2 linked regions of the Arabidopsis thaliana genome follow. The protein of the gene in region 1 interacts with the protein of each later gene in a biochemical or structural test. Each region holds a gene or a part of one and is shown on either strand. Other genes may lie near its edges.

Region 1 (9,556 bases):
TAACTTAAAGACTGCAAACATGCTCTTAGCTAGGAAACTTTTTGTCAAAAGTCATTATGTCTAAGGTTAACCATGTGTCATGCAGCCTGGGGACATTGAGGCTATATGCATTGATTCACGGCCATCAGATGCCATCAATGTTGCAAGAGCATGCCAGGTATGCTACCTGGGGGTTACACGCTTTCCTCAATTTATTGCTTTCGAAATGTGGTTAAACTCACTATCTTTATGGTTCTCTGTTTCTCAAACTGAGGAATCCTAACCTGTTCCTTTTGAATACTGCGATAACATGTTTTTGTTTGTCATATCTCAGGCTCCAATATATGTGAACAAAGCAATAGTGCTGGAAGAGGCTATCAAAATTGGTTATGGAGGCAGACCGCAGAGCGCAAAGCCTGTTTTCAATGTTATCCTTGACAGGTTTTTAGTTTGTTAATGAATCTCCTGGGTTAGTTACACTGTCTCACTCTGTCACAGTTGCTAACCACATGGTGGGTGTTCTTGTTCAGCGCTCCCGATGGACCAGATCCTTTATCGGAAGAGCTTAAATTAGTGAGGAATATGGATTTGGCGTCTAAAGAGGAAAGGTACATCGATGCAGGTATACAAACTGTTCTGGATGGCATCTATATCCAGTGTGCTTTGCAGACTCCTCATTTTTTTCTTGTATCACATTTTGCAGCGATGTGGAGGGACAGACTGAAGAACCTTCAGAACTCGAGGTGAGAAGACAATTGTTGGTGATAATTGAGATGCATTAATGAAGTGACATTGATAATTAACTTGTTTTGGTTGCAGCTCTGTTGTATATAATAAGGGTGTAGAAACTCCTGAGAGCTATGAGTAGTGAAAGAATAGGAGCTAAGAAAGGAAATGGATGTAGATATAATGTGGTGGATTTCAAGGGTATGGAGAGAGAAATATAAGAAGCTCATAGATTGATGGTACCGCATGTACCTGAGAGGAAGCTCTTAGATTGATGGGATCGCAGGATGTATTCAAAGTAAATGAAAGATGTATGAATAACCTGAGGGAATGTGTAAATGTAAATGGAAGAAGACTAAATGAAATGCATTTCTTTAAGTGTGTATAGTATTTTTATTGAATTGGCGATAAGAAGATTATTTAGGAGAAAGAAACTGAGGGCAGAAGCAGACAAAACGAAAGAGGGACGGTTACATACAGTGGGAAAGAAGAGATGTGGATTGTTGTGCCTTCATAAATGTCTACTTGTGGAAGACTAAGCAGTAAGTTAAAAGAAACGTGAATGATTTCCCCTGAAACGATGGTTACACAACACTCCCTTATTCACTTGGTTTTCGGGTTAAAGTTAGAAAAATAAAAGAGGTGGCCCAGCTTTGGTGCATTGAGAGTAGCAGAGTTATTAAATGCTTCGCAGAATTGCAGTTGCACATTCACTCCCTTCTTCTTCTTAATCTCCTTACAGTTACAGACATTCTCTCACTTGCGTTCTTGTTTCTTTTACAAAACAGATACACTATGTTTCCGAGAGAGTCCCTCTGATATTGGCCTGGTTCACTCAGATTCTCTTTTACTAACTCATCTGATTGAGCCGTGTCAATATCTCAGTCCTCTCTCGTCGCTTCTCTCGTATTTTGAAGTTTGCCTCGTTAGGTCACACCACTTGTTTTGTACACACGATCGAGTTGTTGATATGGTGTTGTTGTCTTTGTGTACTCATCGATCACTCAATATATACACATATATTGTCTGTTGCCAAGAACAGATGGACCTTTAAGGTAACAATCTTGTAGATATAATCGTTGATCGGATGCTCCTTTCTCCTTTCTAATTGATTTTTTTTTTAAACTATATATATAGAGATTTCGATGCAATCAACACACACTCGTATTTTTATATATTTTAAAAAGATGCGATGAGCCCCTCCCTCCAAGCTATCACATCAGACAGCAAAGAGAAAGGAGGGTCATTTATTGATGATTACATGCGGAAAGGATGCATTATTGAAGAAGAAGGAGACGAAGAGATAAGGAAAGATGTTTGGTGAATGGTGAGTCATCAAGCCTTTGTAGGAAGGCCATTCTTGGCCCAGGCACTATAGCCACCGACGATATCTTTGACTCCCGTGAAACCCTGCAAATTCGCAAATTATATATCACCAACAAAGTAAAAGTCAGAAAGAAGAGCTTTGTGGTGGAGCTTACTGCATGGAGAAGATCGGTGGTGGCTTTGATAGATCTACCACCGCTCTGGCAGCCAACAATGATGTTATCGGATTGTCCGAAATGGGAGGAGACTTGTTCCAGGAAGTCGGGGTTCTTTGACATCCCTGTTTCACAATCACAAAATTATATCCATCACTCAGTTATCAACTAACCAAATAAAAACATACCTGATGCTCCTCGATTCATGTAAGGCACGTTGATCGCCCCACAGGCATGTCCCTGGCTGAACTCTTCTGGAGTCCTATATTCATCATCCCCATTACATCAAGATCCTAATGATGCTATGTTGATGATTGAAATAGTCAAAAGAGAAAGGTGGGGCGGTACCTGACGTCTAGATAGCGGTGGCCGGCTAGAAGAAGGTCGTGGGCGACTGTTACCGACACCGATGATGGGACTCTGCTCTCCTCCGCCATTTTTTTCAATGGCTTATTATTATATTTGACTGGACAAAGACTTCAATAATTTCATTTTATATAAATTAGTTGGGAAAGTGATTATAATTGGGCCATATATTACAAATACATAATGGGCCTAAGTTGCTGCTTTATGGGCTAAGCTGTTTTCGGACTGTCCTTCATATTTTCATATTACCATTCCAAAACGGCATCATTTTAGCTAACCTCGTCTTGGGTTTACTTGATGAATTTTCAAAAGGTTTAAGGCTTCTGAATGCAATTATTCATTAGTAAAACACCCTTTACACAATTCTTACCATTCTTCGTCAGTCGATCAGATCAACGTTTTACCGTCTCACTGATCGACGGGAAAGAGACGACGACGTTTTTAACCTTTGGGTTGAGATCCGATCCAATATTTCGAAATCGTGATTCCTTGTTTGTGACCTCTCTCTCTCTGCCTCCACACTCTTCTCTAATCCCTCACCTCAAGGTAAGCTTCTTCTCTGGCACTGATTACATTCAAATCTCTCTTCTCCTTGCGTTGCTTTTGCTGGTTTATTCGAATTTCACGACTTGACTCCTTTCTCTTTTGATTGTTGATTCAAATCCCGATTTTGCGCTTACTAGTTGTCGTCGCTCTCTTGAGTGTCTGGGTTCATCTTTCTGACATCTGCTCTGCCAAGATGTCCGAAGACAAGGAATCTGATGTGGTTGGAGAAGAAGAGGAGAGCCATGTGATCAAAGAAGATAAAGAGTTAAATGATGCCTCCAACGAGACTCTGACAGAAAATGGTGATCAGCTACTCCAAATGATTGCTGAACTGAGATTAGAAAATGACTTTCTCAGATCCCAATTTGAGGGACTCAAGGATGAGGTAGCGCAAGGTAGGTCTCTCCAGAAAGCTGAGCAAGTGGAAGCGGACTCTGCTCAGCTGAAACAACTTCAAGAACAGGTCGCATCATTGAGCAGAGAAATTGATGTGGAAAAACAAACTCGAGTTGCAGCTGAGCAAGCTCTTGAGCATCTAAGGGAAGCATACTCTGAGGCTGATGCTAAATCCCAAGAATACTCCTCTAAGTTTTCCCAAGGTCAGAAGCCATCTTTTCTATTTGCTCATTCATTGACCGGAACCAGTGTTTGCCTTTTCTCAACTTGTGCTATTACATTGTTGGTGTAGTTGAACAGAAACTGGACCAGGAAATCAAAGAGCGCGACGAGAAATATGCCGACCTGGACGCCAAATTCACCAGGCTTCACAAAAGGGCTAAACAACGCATTCAAGAAATCCAAAAGGTGAATGTCTTTCTCTACATTTTATAATGCTTTCTGTTTTAGCCACTTTGAGGCTACTGTGAGTTTCAAAAACCATCTTATACTATTTCGGAATTTCTATGCTGCATTTTCAGACATATAGATTTCGCTGCTATGTGCTGTCTTAATCTCAGTGGTATATTATATTGCTATCTTCAGGAAAAAGATGATCTCGACGCCCGTTTCCGGGAAGTGAATGAAACAGCTGAACGAGCATCTTCTCAACACTCATCCATGCAACAAGAGCTGGAACGCACTAGGCAACAGGCGAATGAAGCACTTAAAGCAATGGATGCGGAGAGGCAACAACTAAGGAGTGCCAATAACAAGTAAATAATTCGAAGATAATTTTTACAGAAATTGTATAAAATGAATGTCGCCTTTCCCACTTCTCCAGCTACCTCTAAGAATTTGAGTACTGGAGTTTTCTCTTTACACAGGCTCAGGGATACTATCGAGGAACTACGTGGCTCATTGCAGCCTAAAGAAAATAAGATTGAGACATTGCAACAGTCACTTCTTGATAAGGACCAGGTTTGATCTCTTTCATTTTCTGTAATACTAGTCTGCAATATATAGAAAAATAGAGAGACAAAAGAGACAGAGAGAGAGAGAGAGAGGGGGGGGGGGGGGGGGGGGGGAGGGATGGCTCTGTATACTCTGCTTCATATGCGTACTTGCTTTAATCCTAGATTCTGGAGGACCTGAAAAAGCAATTACAAGCTGTGGAAGAGAGAAAGCAAATTGCAGTTACTGAGTTGTCAGCCAAGCATCAAAAGGTAGTCAGCATCAGCGATTGTGTTACTTCTTATATGCTATGAGCCACCATTTTCCGCTAATGACATCCAAGGTTTTCTCTTCTCTCCACCTTCTTGACAGAACTTAGAGGGTTTGGAAGCACAGGTCGTAGATGCTCTATCTGAGAGGGACAAAGCAGCCGAAACCATTTCGTCGCTGCAGGTTAGTCTTTTGACTAAATTCTTTAGTTCTATTACTGGATGATGTGCTTTGGTTTTCAAATGAGCGAGAGAGAATAGTTTGAAATAAGTGATAAATTCTTCACACCAAGTATACACCTCTTTTAGGTACTGCTTGCAGAGAAGGAATCTAAAATTGCAGAGATGGAGGCAGCTGCAACTGGCGAAGCAGCAAGGCTAAGGGCTGCTGCAGAAACTCTTAAAGGAGAGCTTGCACACCTTAAATCAGAGAATGTAAGTGGAATGTTTAAAGATGGATTCGCAGGACTCTCTGATGCCAACTGTCATTTGTCCTTCGTTATTGTTGCCCATTCGTATATTCTAAGACATTGTTTTGCATACTACTCGTCAAATGATTTCCATCATTTAGCAGATTTACTAGCATGGTTTTAACCAGGGAATGAATATAGGAGTGCGTATAGATAATTGTAAACATGATCTAAGGCGTCAGTCTGTCATCAGACAGCATGTTTAGAGTTTCTATTTGTTTGGCCATATAAATTCCTCTATTTTCTTTTGTTGTAATTCATAGAAGCCATGATTTTTTTTTGTTCCTTTAGGAAAAGGAAAAGGAGACTTGGGAAGCTTCATGCGATGCCCTTAAATCTAAACTGGAAATCGCTGAAAGCAACTACTTACAGGCCGAAATCGAAGTGGCTAAAATGAGAAGTAATTGACGGAGTTCATAAACGTTGAACTAATCTAGTTATGTTTTACTTTTGTCTATGGACTATAGACATTTCATTCATATAAATTGTCAGGTCAGCTGGGATCTGAAATGTCCATGCAGACCCAGATACTAAGCACAAAAGATGCGGAACTCAAAGGTGCAAGAGAAGAGGTACATAGTTTTCTTTTGGTTCTTTTGGAAACTATTGTAGCCTTGGTTAGGTGAACGAATTTATTAGTCATCCATTCTTAATCACATAACGTGAATTATTATGGAATCAAAGAGCCATTTTGAGCTTTAAGGAATGTTCTGCTTTAGCTAGTCTTCATTTAACCATATTGAATTCCTTGTAACTGTTCACAGATCAACCGGCTCCAAAGTGAATTCTCTTCTTACAAGATCCGTGCTCACGCGCTTTTGCAAAAGAAGGACATGGAGCTGGCTGCAGCTAAAGACTCTGAACAAATTAAATCTCTTGAGGAAGCTCTAAAGGTAAGTTATCTAGAATCTTAAGATGGAGATATTTTTAGATGGTTGCCAAGGTGCTTACCAACTAATTATCTTTTTGGGTGGTGTTAGGAAGCTGAAAAAGAAGTATATTTGGTATCTGCAGAGAGGGATAGGGCACAGCAAGATCTTCAGAGTGCTTTGGCTAGCCTTGAGAAAGAACTTGAAGAGAGGTATATATTGACACTGAATCTTTTTCATGTTTGATTCCGGAGGTTGGCTGCTCATTCTCCTCAATTTGCCAGAGAAAACAACTGAGAAATGGTGTTCTCAGGGGACTGGTTATGGAGTTCTTCAGACATATATTGGTCGTCTGAGCTATTTTTGTTTCATATATATTTCAGAGCTGGAGCACTTAAAGATGCCAGCGAGCAGATCAAAAGTCTTGAAGTGAAGCTTGACTCCACTGTTGCTCGCAATCAGGCGGAGAAACAAGCTTGGGAAGAAGACCTTCGGGTTTTAGAAGAAACATGGCGACGTAATTGATTCAAATCTAAATTCGGTTTTTTCATTAGTTCTTGGAAATTGAAATTCCCTTCCTAAAAGGCTACAGTAATCTATAGGAAGATGTGAAGCTTTGACCGCTCAAAATGAAGCCTCACCTGCAGAAGGTATAGAAAAAGAACTAGAAAATGCCAAACTGCGGAATAAACGAATGAAGGTAAATCACTTTTTGTTATACTCATAAAAAAGTTTTTTTGTCTAACTGACATACCTGCAGGAGGAGCATGAATCAGTACGTGAGCTTGCAGATAGACTCATTGAGGAGAAGGATCGAGAGATATCGAGACTTGTGGATGAGATGACAAATCTTCGAAAATCTATGGAGTCAAAACCAGTAGTATGTGGATGGTTCTTTTTTTTTTTTTTTTTGCTTATTACCTTACTTCTCCTTTTTATCTTTGGTTTTACGCTAGTAACTTTTCATTTAATTTGCACTGAAACTTTTCACTCTTCATGTGGCATTAAGTGGAACAAATCTCCATCCCAGGTTCACCACTATGGGAACAACAACACAGGTACAAGATGTTTTCCTGATACCATATTTTTTTAATAAGGGCTCCCTATATGAATGAATCAGTGGGTTCCCTGTCATCAATAACCTATTATTTTCTTTAAACGGGGTTTCAGAGTCACAACAGCAGGATGTATCTAACTTGAGCACTTCTGCAGCAGAGCACCAGATTCTGGTAGGATTTTGTAATGTTAGCTGTCTGCTTGTGTGAGCAAGGAGCGATCTTTAATCCTAGAACTTAATTTCCTTCAAATGTAATGCTATGGCCTACGGGACAAATCAGTGAGAGCTAATCATGACACATAATAATCAAATTTCAGATATTGGCAAGGCAACAAGCTCAGAGAGAAGAAGAGTTAGCACAGACACAGCGCCATATTTTAGCTCTTCAGGTGTAGTAGAATTGGTTGCATTGATCTGTTTCTGCACATGTTGCAATTAGTAACTGTTTATTCTGAATCAGGAGGAAATCGAGGAGCTTGAACGAGAAAACCGTCTTCACAGTCAACAGGTATGTGATTACACGAGAGTTTGGTTGCTTTGCCAGTTTCTTAGGATCTTATTTCAAACTTCCGGTGGTATGCTAAATTACAGGAAGCAGTGCTAAAGACGGAGTTGAGGGAGATGGAAAGAAAACAGAAGAGAGAAGGCGTGGATATGACATACCTAAAGAATGTGATATTAAAACTGCTAGAAACAGGTTAAAAAACCTGGAGATTAAAGGTGGATTCACGAAGTAGATGTTTTAGGGGTAAATTAACTTGTGATAATTGCAGGTGAAGTGGAGGCTTTACTACCTGTAGTGGGGATGTTGCTGCAGTTCAGTCCAGAGGAGATCCAGAAGTGTCAGCAAGCCTACCATAGCTCAACAACAGCGGCAACAACAACAGAGGCGACTCCAAGTCCGGCAAGTGAGGGTTCAGGTCTATCAGTCTTCTCAAGATTCTCGTTTTCATAGTCGGGTGGGCACTGGACACATTCTTTTGGGCCAAGATACATACACATACATACGACATTGTGTTTAAGTCCTTCGTTTTTGTGTAATGAACACTAAAAGTCAAGAAAACACTTTTTGTCCAGATGTAAAGAAAGGATAAGCCACTGAATTGAGTTGTTGGGCCATTTTTAATGGAGTCTATTGTAATCATGCAGAAAACCGCTGATTATCGGAATTAATGAAACTAAAAAAGTCAACGCAAAATTAACTACAAAGATAGTATAATAATAACGGTCGTCGACTTGTTGTTATTGGTCAACCGTTATGTACGGAATCAATTTGAACGGGTCTCACTCTCACTGCCTTGAAGGCCATTTTAATTGAGCGGAATTCATTTCGCCTACTAGTTTCAAATCTCGTAACGAAGAAGGTGATTGGTTCTTCTTCCTCTTGCTGGAAGCCATGGTGAGTAGGCTCAAGATACACTCTGGCTTGCGTTTGTGGGAATTCCCTGATCAGTACGTCATCGAGCCAACCGATGGTTCCTCCGCTTCATGTTTGGATATTAGTCGTCTTGACGGCTCCATGAAGCTCATTGGTGTGTTTCCTGTTTTTGCCTCGTTATATTGGAATCTTTTTGTTCTCTTATGCATGTATGTGTAATGCATCCTCTTGCCTGTCTCAGATCAAGTAGCAGAATGCAACTCTTTGCGTGTCCCTAAAATCCGCTCCATTTTCGGTGTGGTTGGGATGCTGAAGCTCCTGGCAGGTGAAATTTCAGAGATCCTATCGAATAATTAATCTATTTGTGAATGTTTTCATCTTCATTTGAACCAAGAGCAAATTTTCTTATTTGATTTCAGGATCCTACTTAGTAGTTGTGACAGAGAGCGAATCTGTTGGCTCGTTTTTGGGACATCCTATATACAAAATTAATTCGCTCAAGTTTCTTCCATGTGATCATTCACTTGAAAACCCGCATGAAGAACAGGTGACTCCATGTTACATTTCCCTCTTGTATCTATCTCTCTGACAAGCAAGAAACAATAATTAATGGACCTCAACGATCAAAACACTGAACCGCTTTTCGCAGAAAAAGATGGAGACTGATGACTACTCTAGGCTGCTAAGTGTCGCTGAGAGGACAACTGGTCTCTACTTCTCATATGAAATTAACTTGACTCTCACGTAAATAATTTCTCTTCTTCTTAATTTGTGCCAACTCTGGAAATGCTAGATTGTAAAAAGAGATTAAAAAAAAAAGTTGAGATTTTGCTAATCATGTATGTTGTTGTTTCAGTGCACAGCGCTTGCATGATTTGGGTGATGAGTCTAAGTTGCTTCCTTTGTGGAGACAGGTATCCATCCATACGCCCTTTTTGTTGCTTGTTTGTGTGCAAACTAACCTTTAATTTACATCTTTATTGGCAGGCTGAGCCTAGATTTCTATGGAACAATTATATGTTAGAAGTTCTTATCGATAATAAGGTTAGTGAACTCTTGTTCAAGTTCACTCCTCTGTTTTCTGTA
Region 2 (6,528 bases), on another chromosome or scaffold:
TTTTTTTTTTGTTGGGGAATTTTCCTTCGTGTTTTCACGGGAAATGTAAAATTTACTGAGAGAAAATTTTGGGTTATGATTAATGAATGTTTGCTTGTAATTTCCTATCCCCAATGGTGGAAAACTCGTTTTTAGTTTTTGTAATTCTCAAAAGTGTGATAGGTAACCTTTCTCATACAGCTTTAATACCAATCAGTAATAGAGTAAACTAAAACGGAATAACATAATAGTACTTAAAATTCTTACAATTTTATGTCATCACTAAGATCTACAAAAAAATGAATCATAGTATCATAACACTATGTTTGCCCAAAAAAAAAAAAAAAAGTATCATAACACTATTGATCATAAATTCAAAGCTTGCAATGTTTCGATGGAAACGTGATTCATCCCGTACACAAACTGTAATTTTATATACATTTTCAGAAACTAATGTAATGCATTAACCCTTTTGTATTACGTATATATTCTCACATTTTATATTTTGTAAGGAGATTCGTTTAGTTACTTTAATTATGAATTGTTATAATTGTGTCTCCTCCATGTATTTGTGTTACTTTCATATTTTCCTTGCATTTATATATTTTATTTACCATAGGATAGTTCTGAATTTGCTATCAACTTGGATATTTTAAATTAATTGAGACTCCATCTAGTTCACCGTCAAATTTTAACTATACTTGTTTAACTATACTTGTTATATAACGAGTGAATAAACTGGAAATAGTATTACTATTAACTATGAACTTACATTCGTAATATTCGAAAATATGTGCGTGAGTTAGTCTTGTCACAAGAAAAGGAATCATATTCTTTTTTTCATTAAACAAAAATTGGAAACACATATTATGGTATAAATCAAAAGATAATTCGATTACTTGCCCCATTTGCCTGCTTTACTTTCAATTTGATAATATCCCATCAACAAGAGTCTTGTTACATGACCAAATTTTCTTCTGTTCTCACGTTATTAAGTATTTTGAAGTGAAGTGCACTCCAAACAAACGTCTAAAACTTAAGGTTTGTATAATCCTCAATCAAAAACATTTTACAACTTATTTCTATTTTTTTATATTGGGGTCTTTTTCCCAGCTACTAATATACGATCACTTAAGTAATTTTTTGTAAAAATCATTAAAAATCCTAATAAACTCATTTGCGTAGTTCAATTACACACATACATATGTAGTAATATAAATATTATTTTCCGTTTTAAATTATCGTAAATGGAATGTCATTTAGAATTTTAATTTTATTCACCACAAATGTTTTTTTCTGTTTTAATATATTTGTTTGTTAAAATTTATATTTTCGTCGCTAATTAGTCCACTGAAATTATAATCCACAGGCTAGATAATCCACTGATTTCAACAAAGGTGAAAAAATTATATAACTAATATTTGTCCATTAGTAGTAGCTAATTAATTGAAAACGTTTGTTCTCTGAATCGAAAGAGCTGCATAAGAGAAAGGGGACACGTGTCAAAAACAGAGTTTAATATGAAAGCGAAGACAATGATTCTGTTTTGACTTATTTGTCATTTGCTGAGCTGTCTTTAGAGGCGCCGAGTAGCCGCGTCTCCCGCAAGAAAGTTCCAAAGCAATACTTCTTCTTTCATTGCATTCATTTCCCCAACTGTCTCAAACTTTGTGCCGCATAAGCAAAAGGTACAAATAAAATAATAATAAAAATAAAGGATGGCGAAAACAAAATTACTTGTATCAAACAAGAACATTTTGTTAATTTTTCCGAGTGAAAACATCACTTGATATGGATATGCGATTTTAGTTGTTGTAAGTTTCTCTAGCATAATTGATAATTCCTATTAACATCAATTTTGATATAGCATTAGGACTTCAATGTTTTTATTTTTAGGGTTTGTTCTTTTTGACTTCATTAGTCTAGTGGTACTTTAAGACCACTTTTTCACCTCACACATGGATGATCCAGACCTAGTCAAGCTAGGAGTGACTTTTATGTTTATATAATTTATACATGTTAAATTATTTTAGTTTTCTTTTTTAAAGGAGATGAATTTAATTCGGTGTGGATCCCGTCTCTAGAAAATATAGGGTCTTTGGGCTTGAACTTCCAAATATTCGAATAACAAAAAAAATTATTTTAGTTTTTAACCCAAAAAGAAAACATTTGCGATCAAATGTTATTGTAAACAACGCACACTAAAAAGACATTTACCCTTTTCGGTGAAGAGACACAGGGACAGCTACATGCGACCCAAAAAATGAGCTTACCCTCTATTTCACATATGTAAGAATATACTCTAATTAGACTCAGCATGTAGTATAAAGAAGGTGTTGACAAAAAAGCTCAAATAATTCGATAAACTAACAATGCACGGGTACTAATTAACAAGGAATTCTCATAAAATTGAAGGTAAATTTAAACAACAATAAGAGCATCCCAATTAGGTAAGAGATTTAGTTAAGTAATTGCGATCAAGGAAACAAGTACAACAGAAGTGGAAGTCTGTCTCTATATCACTTTCTTCCCTGATGCATAAACTTACCTCTTGTTCACAAACTTTGTTAACATTTTGATAATGCAATGAAATGAAATTAGAAATTCAAAACAAAAATAGAGAAAAGTACAACCAGTGGACTATAGTCCAATTAGTCAACCAAAGTAACAATGGGCCGAGCTGATAATATTTAGGCCCAAAAAAAGCCTCTGGACGAATCAGAGACACTGGAAATGAACGTTCTTCTTCGCACTAACTCTCAAAGAAGAAGAAAAGATCTGAGAGGTGGTCGAATGATCCAAGAGAAGAAGAACAATCTCTCTTAGATCGTTTGATCTGATCCAATCGAAGAAGAAGATGGGAATCTTATTCACGCGGATGTTCTCTTCCGTCTTTGGTAACAAAGAAGCTCGAATCCTCGTCCTCGGTCTCGACAATGCTGGAAAAACCACAATCCTCTGTAAATTCACTGCCTCAATCTTTCGCATTGTGTAATAGATTTGATATTTAGTAGCTAGGGTTTTTGATTCGATCGTTTTTTGAGTTGCGTTGATGTTTTTGATTCTCTGTGATTCCAGATCGGCTTCAGATGGGGGAAGTTGTCTCTACGATTCCGAGTATGTATCTAATCTCTCGATTATTGTATAGATTATGGATCTAGTTTATGTATCGTGATTTTACGAATTTTGGTTTTGATCTGATCTTTGCAGCTATTGGATTTAACGTTGAGACTGTGCAGTACAACAATATCAAGTTTCAGGTCTGGGATTTAGGTATGTTTTCGAAGAATGTGTTCGAACGCATTAAACTTTGAATTTGAAGTAGTAGAAATGATTTTTGGTATTATATGGAAGGGATATTCGAAATCTACAACACTATATAAGCATTAGATTAATCCAAATCAAACCATTTTCTGATGGATTCAGTTAGAGATTCTCTGCGTTCTTCTTTCTAAGTTGACTAGCTCCATGGTAGTAGATCTTCAGTGTCACTTTTGTATAATTGGAATGTTTGTCTTTTGTATGAATTAACGAATTCATGATCAGAATTTTCCTTGATTTGGAGTCCTTAGATAAGTTGTTGTCGTATGTGTCGTTATATTCGACTTTCTTGTTCCAAGTTATTACCTTTTCCAACTGGTCTTGATGAGATAGATGAAGTTCTTTGTATTCAAATTTGGGTGATAAAGAGTTCTGTATTATCACATCTTCTTCCTATAGTTTTTATTATTATTATTGTTTTGCACGTGTTGTATGTACATCTGTCTTGTTAGTTATATGCGAATGCTTTTGCATTTTACAAAATTGGTTCAGCGACACAGTACATTAACAAGAACTTTCCTATGACAGGTGGACAAACAAGCATCAGGTAGCTTAATGACCTCGTTTCTCATTTCTAGATATGATGAACATATTGCATCTACTGTGAAGGAATGAAGAACAGAAATGCTCCATCAAGATTATACTGTTTTTGTTTTGCCCAATTTTCTAATGGTATTTTTGACAGGCCATACTGGCGATGCTATTTCCCGAATACACAAGCAGTGATCTATGTTGTTGACTCGAGTGATACAGATAGAATCGGGGTGGCGAAAGAGGAGTTTCATGCAATTTTAGAGGTAAAGTACTGCTGAGGCTTCCTCTTCTTATACTGTTGTATTATTTTGTGATGGACTTCTTGCATCCAAAAGTAATTGAGGTAAAACGATGATGATGTATATCGGTAGTTGAATGGAAATACAATATTGGTTCAGTTTCTTGTTTAGGACTTGTTATAGATGCTTGTAAGTTGTATATCAAGTATTGTTAGCCTTCTAATAGGTGATACTGAAATTGAAGTATCTCGGTTAGTACTGGACGGAAAGAACAAGTGATCATTTCTCTCTGTAGATCTTGCTAGCTAATCTTAAACTCTCAGCAACAATGCTTACTTGAGTTTACCTCTGCCACTGTCAGCATTTAACTCGCACTATCTTTTCAACTATGTTTTATAGGAAGATGAATTGAAAGGTGCGGTGGTTCTGATATTTGCAAACAAGCAGGTTAGTAGTCTCTAAATGTTTGCTCTTCCGATTAGTTTGGGCTGATTCATCTGGAAATCTGTATTGGTTTCTGTTGCTAAAAAGCTTTAGTTTGTTTTGCATGCACAAGACACTTTTTTGCTGATGAAAAATCTATAACTATTTGGTCTGAGTTTCATTAAATCGACTTAATTTAGGATCTTCCCGGTGCACTCGATGATGCGGCTGTTACAGAAGCCTTGGAGTTGCATAAGATAAAGAGTCGTCAATGGGCAATCTTCAAAACTTGTGCTGTGAAAGGCGAGGGACTTTTCGAGGGATTGGACTGGTAAGCACATTCTGAAACCGAACCATTTTCTTGGTCCCATTATTGAAACACTGAACCCATTTCTTTATGCATTTCTTCTCAAATATTCTTCTCTCATTTCCATCTTGATCTTCAGGTTGAGTAATACATTGAAGTCGGGAAGTGGCTAAAATCATCGTCATACACCAATCTGTCACATTTCTCAAGAGTGTAACTTTGATCATTTTTACTTATTGGTTTGTTTAGTATCTTTTTTTTATCTTAGTTCTTCATCTTAAAGAGTTAATATCAATGACATGTTCACTTAATATTCTCTTTTTGTTGTTTTGTTTCATTCTGAAAGAAAAAACCCAACACAGATTTTTGATTGAGACCCATAAGGGGTAATATCATCACTTTTTAACATGAAATATTGAACTGATTCCAGACGAAACACTGAATTGGTTCCAAGTGGTGTTTTTGCCGACTTGGATTCAGAAGCTCAAACGTTTGGGGTTTTAGAAGTCCTAATTTATGTAATTTGTCTGCTCCTTAATTAATGATAAAATTGTTGACACTATTATGCCATTTAGTAGATAGTAAGATTTTTTTTTAATGTTTTCAAAGAGGCAAAAATAATTTGCAAGGAATATATAGAACTAGCAAGATACTAGCCTAAGCTATTTGATTAACTTTCCTGCTAATAATGCTAGTATGCTACCAAAACAAAACACAAGCGATTTGTGAAGCTCTTTCTTAAAGAGTCCGGCTCGGCGTTTAGAGAATGTAACTTGACGGTGGCTCTCTTTCTTGATCTTACCATAGAATCTTTTATATGGCGGGTGTTGAGCAAATTAACTTAAACAAATTTGTTTTATTATCGTAACTCAATAAAAATTACGATTTCTAGTCATAAACAAAAGGCTGTACATAGCATTAGGCCTGCTACGGATCCGGATATCCGGGTTTTTTGGAGTATCTGGATCCGTATCCGTATCCGGCGGATATGTAGTTTTAGGATCCGCATCCGGATCCGTAAACCTCGGATATCCGGATTTCGAATATCCATGAAAAAACCGGATATCCGCGGATATTCGAGATCCGTTTATTTTTGGGAACAAATTCAATTTCCTATTTCACCAACCAGATTGAATTCACCACCAAAAGAGATCGACGTGTGCCCGACATCAGACTTTGCAAGGCACATACCACCAAGATCTCGTCTTTAACGGTGTCCAATCTGCTCCTCCTCATTCATCTCCGCCATCGACACTTTGAATCCCATGTATCATCATTCCCGTAAGTAAACTTCCGTCCATAAATTTACGACGGTGGAACCGAGATGAATATGGTGGGGAGACGGTGATGAAGATTACATGGAGATGAGATGGAGATAGTGAAGGAAATGGTGATGAAGGAAACATTCACGGCGGCAGAAAAAATATGTTATGAAACCCTAATAGTTAAGTCCCAAACAAACTCAAATTCCATCATTTTGTCGTAGTGGGCTAATATTGGACTATTGGGCTTAACATTGATAATGTGTATTTGATTAAGCCCAGGATACAAATATAACTTAAGCCCATAATACAAATATGTAGACATATTGAACGGATGCGGATATTCGGCTCTGATTTTTTTCATAATCTGGATCCGTATCCGGATCCGCCGGACTCGTATCCAGATCCGCCGGACTCGTATCCAGATCCGCCGGACTCGTATCCGGATCCGTCGCACCTAATT

Evidence for each region. Proteins that work in one complex are often made in the same cells at the same time.
Region 2: the proteins of ATGRIP (region 1) and ARF3 form a complex in vitro, tested with the Arabidopsis thaliana proteins (2 studies listed by BioGRID).

The regions. Positions count from the first base shown.
Region 1 is NC_003076.8:26,403,624-26,413,179, reverse strand, and holds ATGRIP (Golgi-localized GRIP domain-containing protein), read left to right. Parts: upstream 1-2,824; 5' UTR 2,825-3,098; intron 3,099-3,235; 5' UTR 3,236-3,291; coding exon 3,292-3,697; intron 3,698-3,786; coding exon 3,787-3,902; intron 3,903-4,079; coding exon 4,080-4,249; intron 4,250-4,360; coding exon 4,361-4,454; intron 4,455-4,612; coding exon 4,613-4,699; intron 4,700-4,799; coding exon 4,800-4,880; intron 4,881-5,005; coding exon 5,006-5,131; intron 5,132-5,457; coding exon 5,458-5,566; intron 5,567-5,658; coding exon 5,659-5,738; intron 5,739-5,930; coding exon 5,931-6,059; intron 6,060-6,146; coding exon 6,147-6,247; intron 6,248-6,418; coding exon 6,419-6,552; intron 6,553-6,637; coding exon 6,638-6,735; intron 6,736-6,795; coding exon 6,796-6,915; intron 6,916-7,044; coding exon 7,045-7,093; intron 7,094-7,205; coding exon 7,206-7,264; intron 7,265-7,409; coding exon 7,410-7,481; coding exon of another isoform or gene 7,482-7,487; exon of another isoform or gene 7,488-7,552; coding exon 7,553-7,600; and 7 more. Other genes in the region: AT5G66050 (Wound-responsive family protein), read left to right, coding at 86-157, 314-420, 510-601, 683-722, 799-847; STR16 (sulfurtransferase protein 16), read right to left, coding at 2,041-2,115, 2,187-2,311, 2,375-2,448, 2,535-2,623; ATSAC1B (Phosphoinositide phosphatase family protein), read left to right, coding at 8,489-8,624, 8,712-8,795, 8,890-9,017, 9,120-9,214, 9,327-9,384, 9,458-9,514. UniProt on the Arabidopsis thaliana protein: Golgi matrix protein playing a role in tethering of vesicles to Golgi membranes and in maintaining the overall structure of the Golgi apparatus.
Region 2 is NC_003071.7:10,559,986-10,566,513, forward strand, and holds ARF3 (ADP-ribosylation factor 3), read left to right. Parts: upstream 1-2,702; 5' UTR 2,703-2,836; coding exon 2,837-2,939; intron 2,940-3,057; coding exon 3,058-3,096; intron 3,097-3,189; coding exon 3,190-3,252; intron 3,253-3,828; coding exon 3,829-3,847; intron 3,848-3,985; coding exon 3,986-4,097; intron 4,098-4,472; coding exon 4,473-4,520; intron 4,521-4,696; coding exon 4,697-4,827; intron 4,828-4,942; coding exon 4,943-4,976; 3' UTR 4,977-5,311; downstream 5,312-6,528. Other genes in the region: AT2G24780 (uncharacterized protein), read right to left, coding at 5,696-5,854. UniProt on the Arabidopsis thaliana protein: GTP-binding protein involved in protein trafficking; may modulate vesicle budding and uncoating within the Golgi apparatus.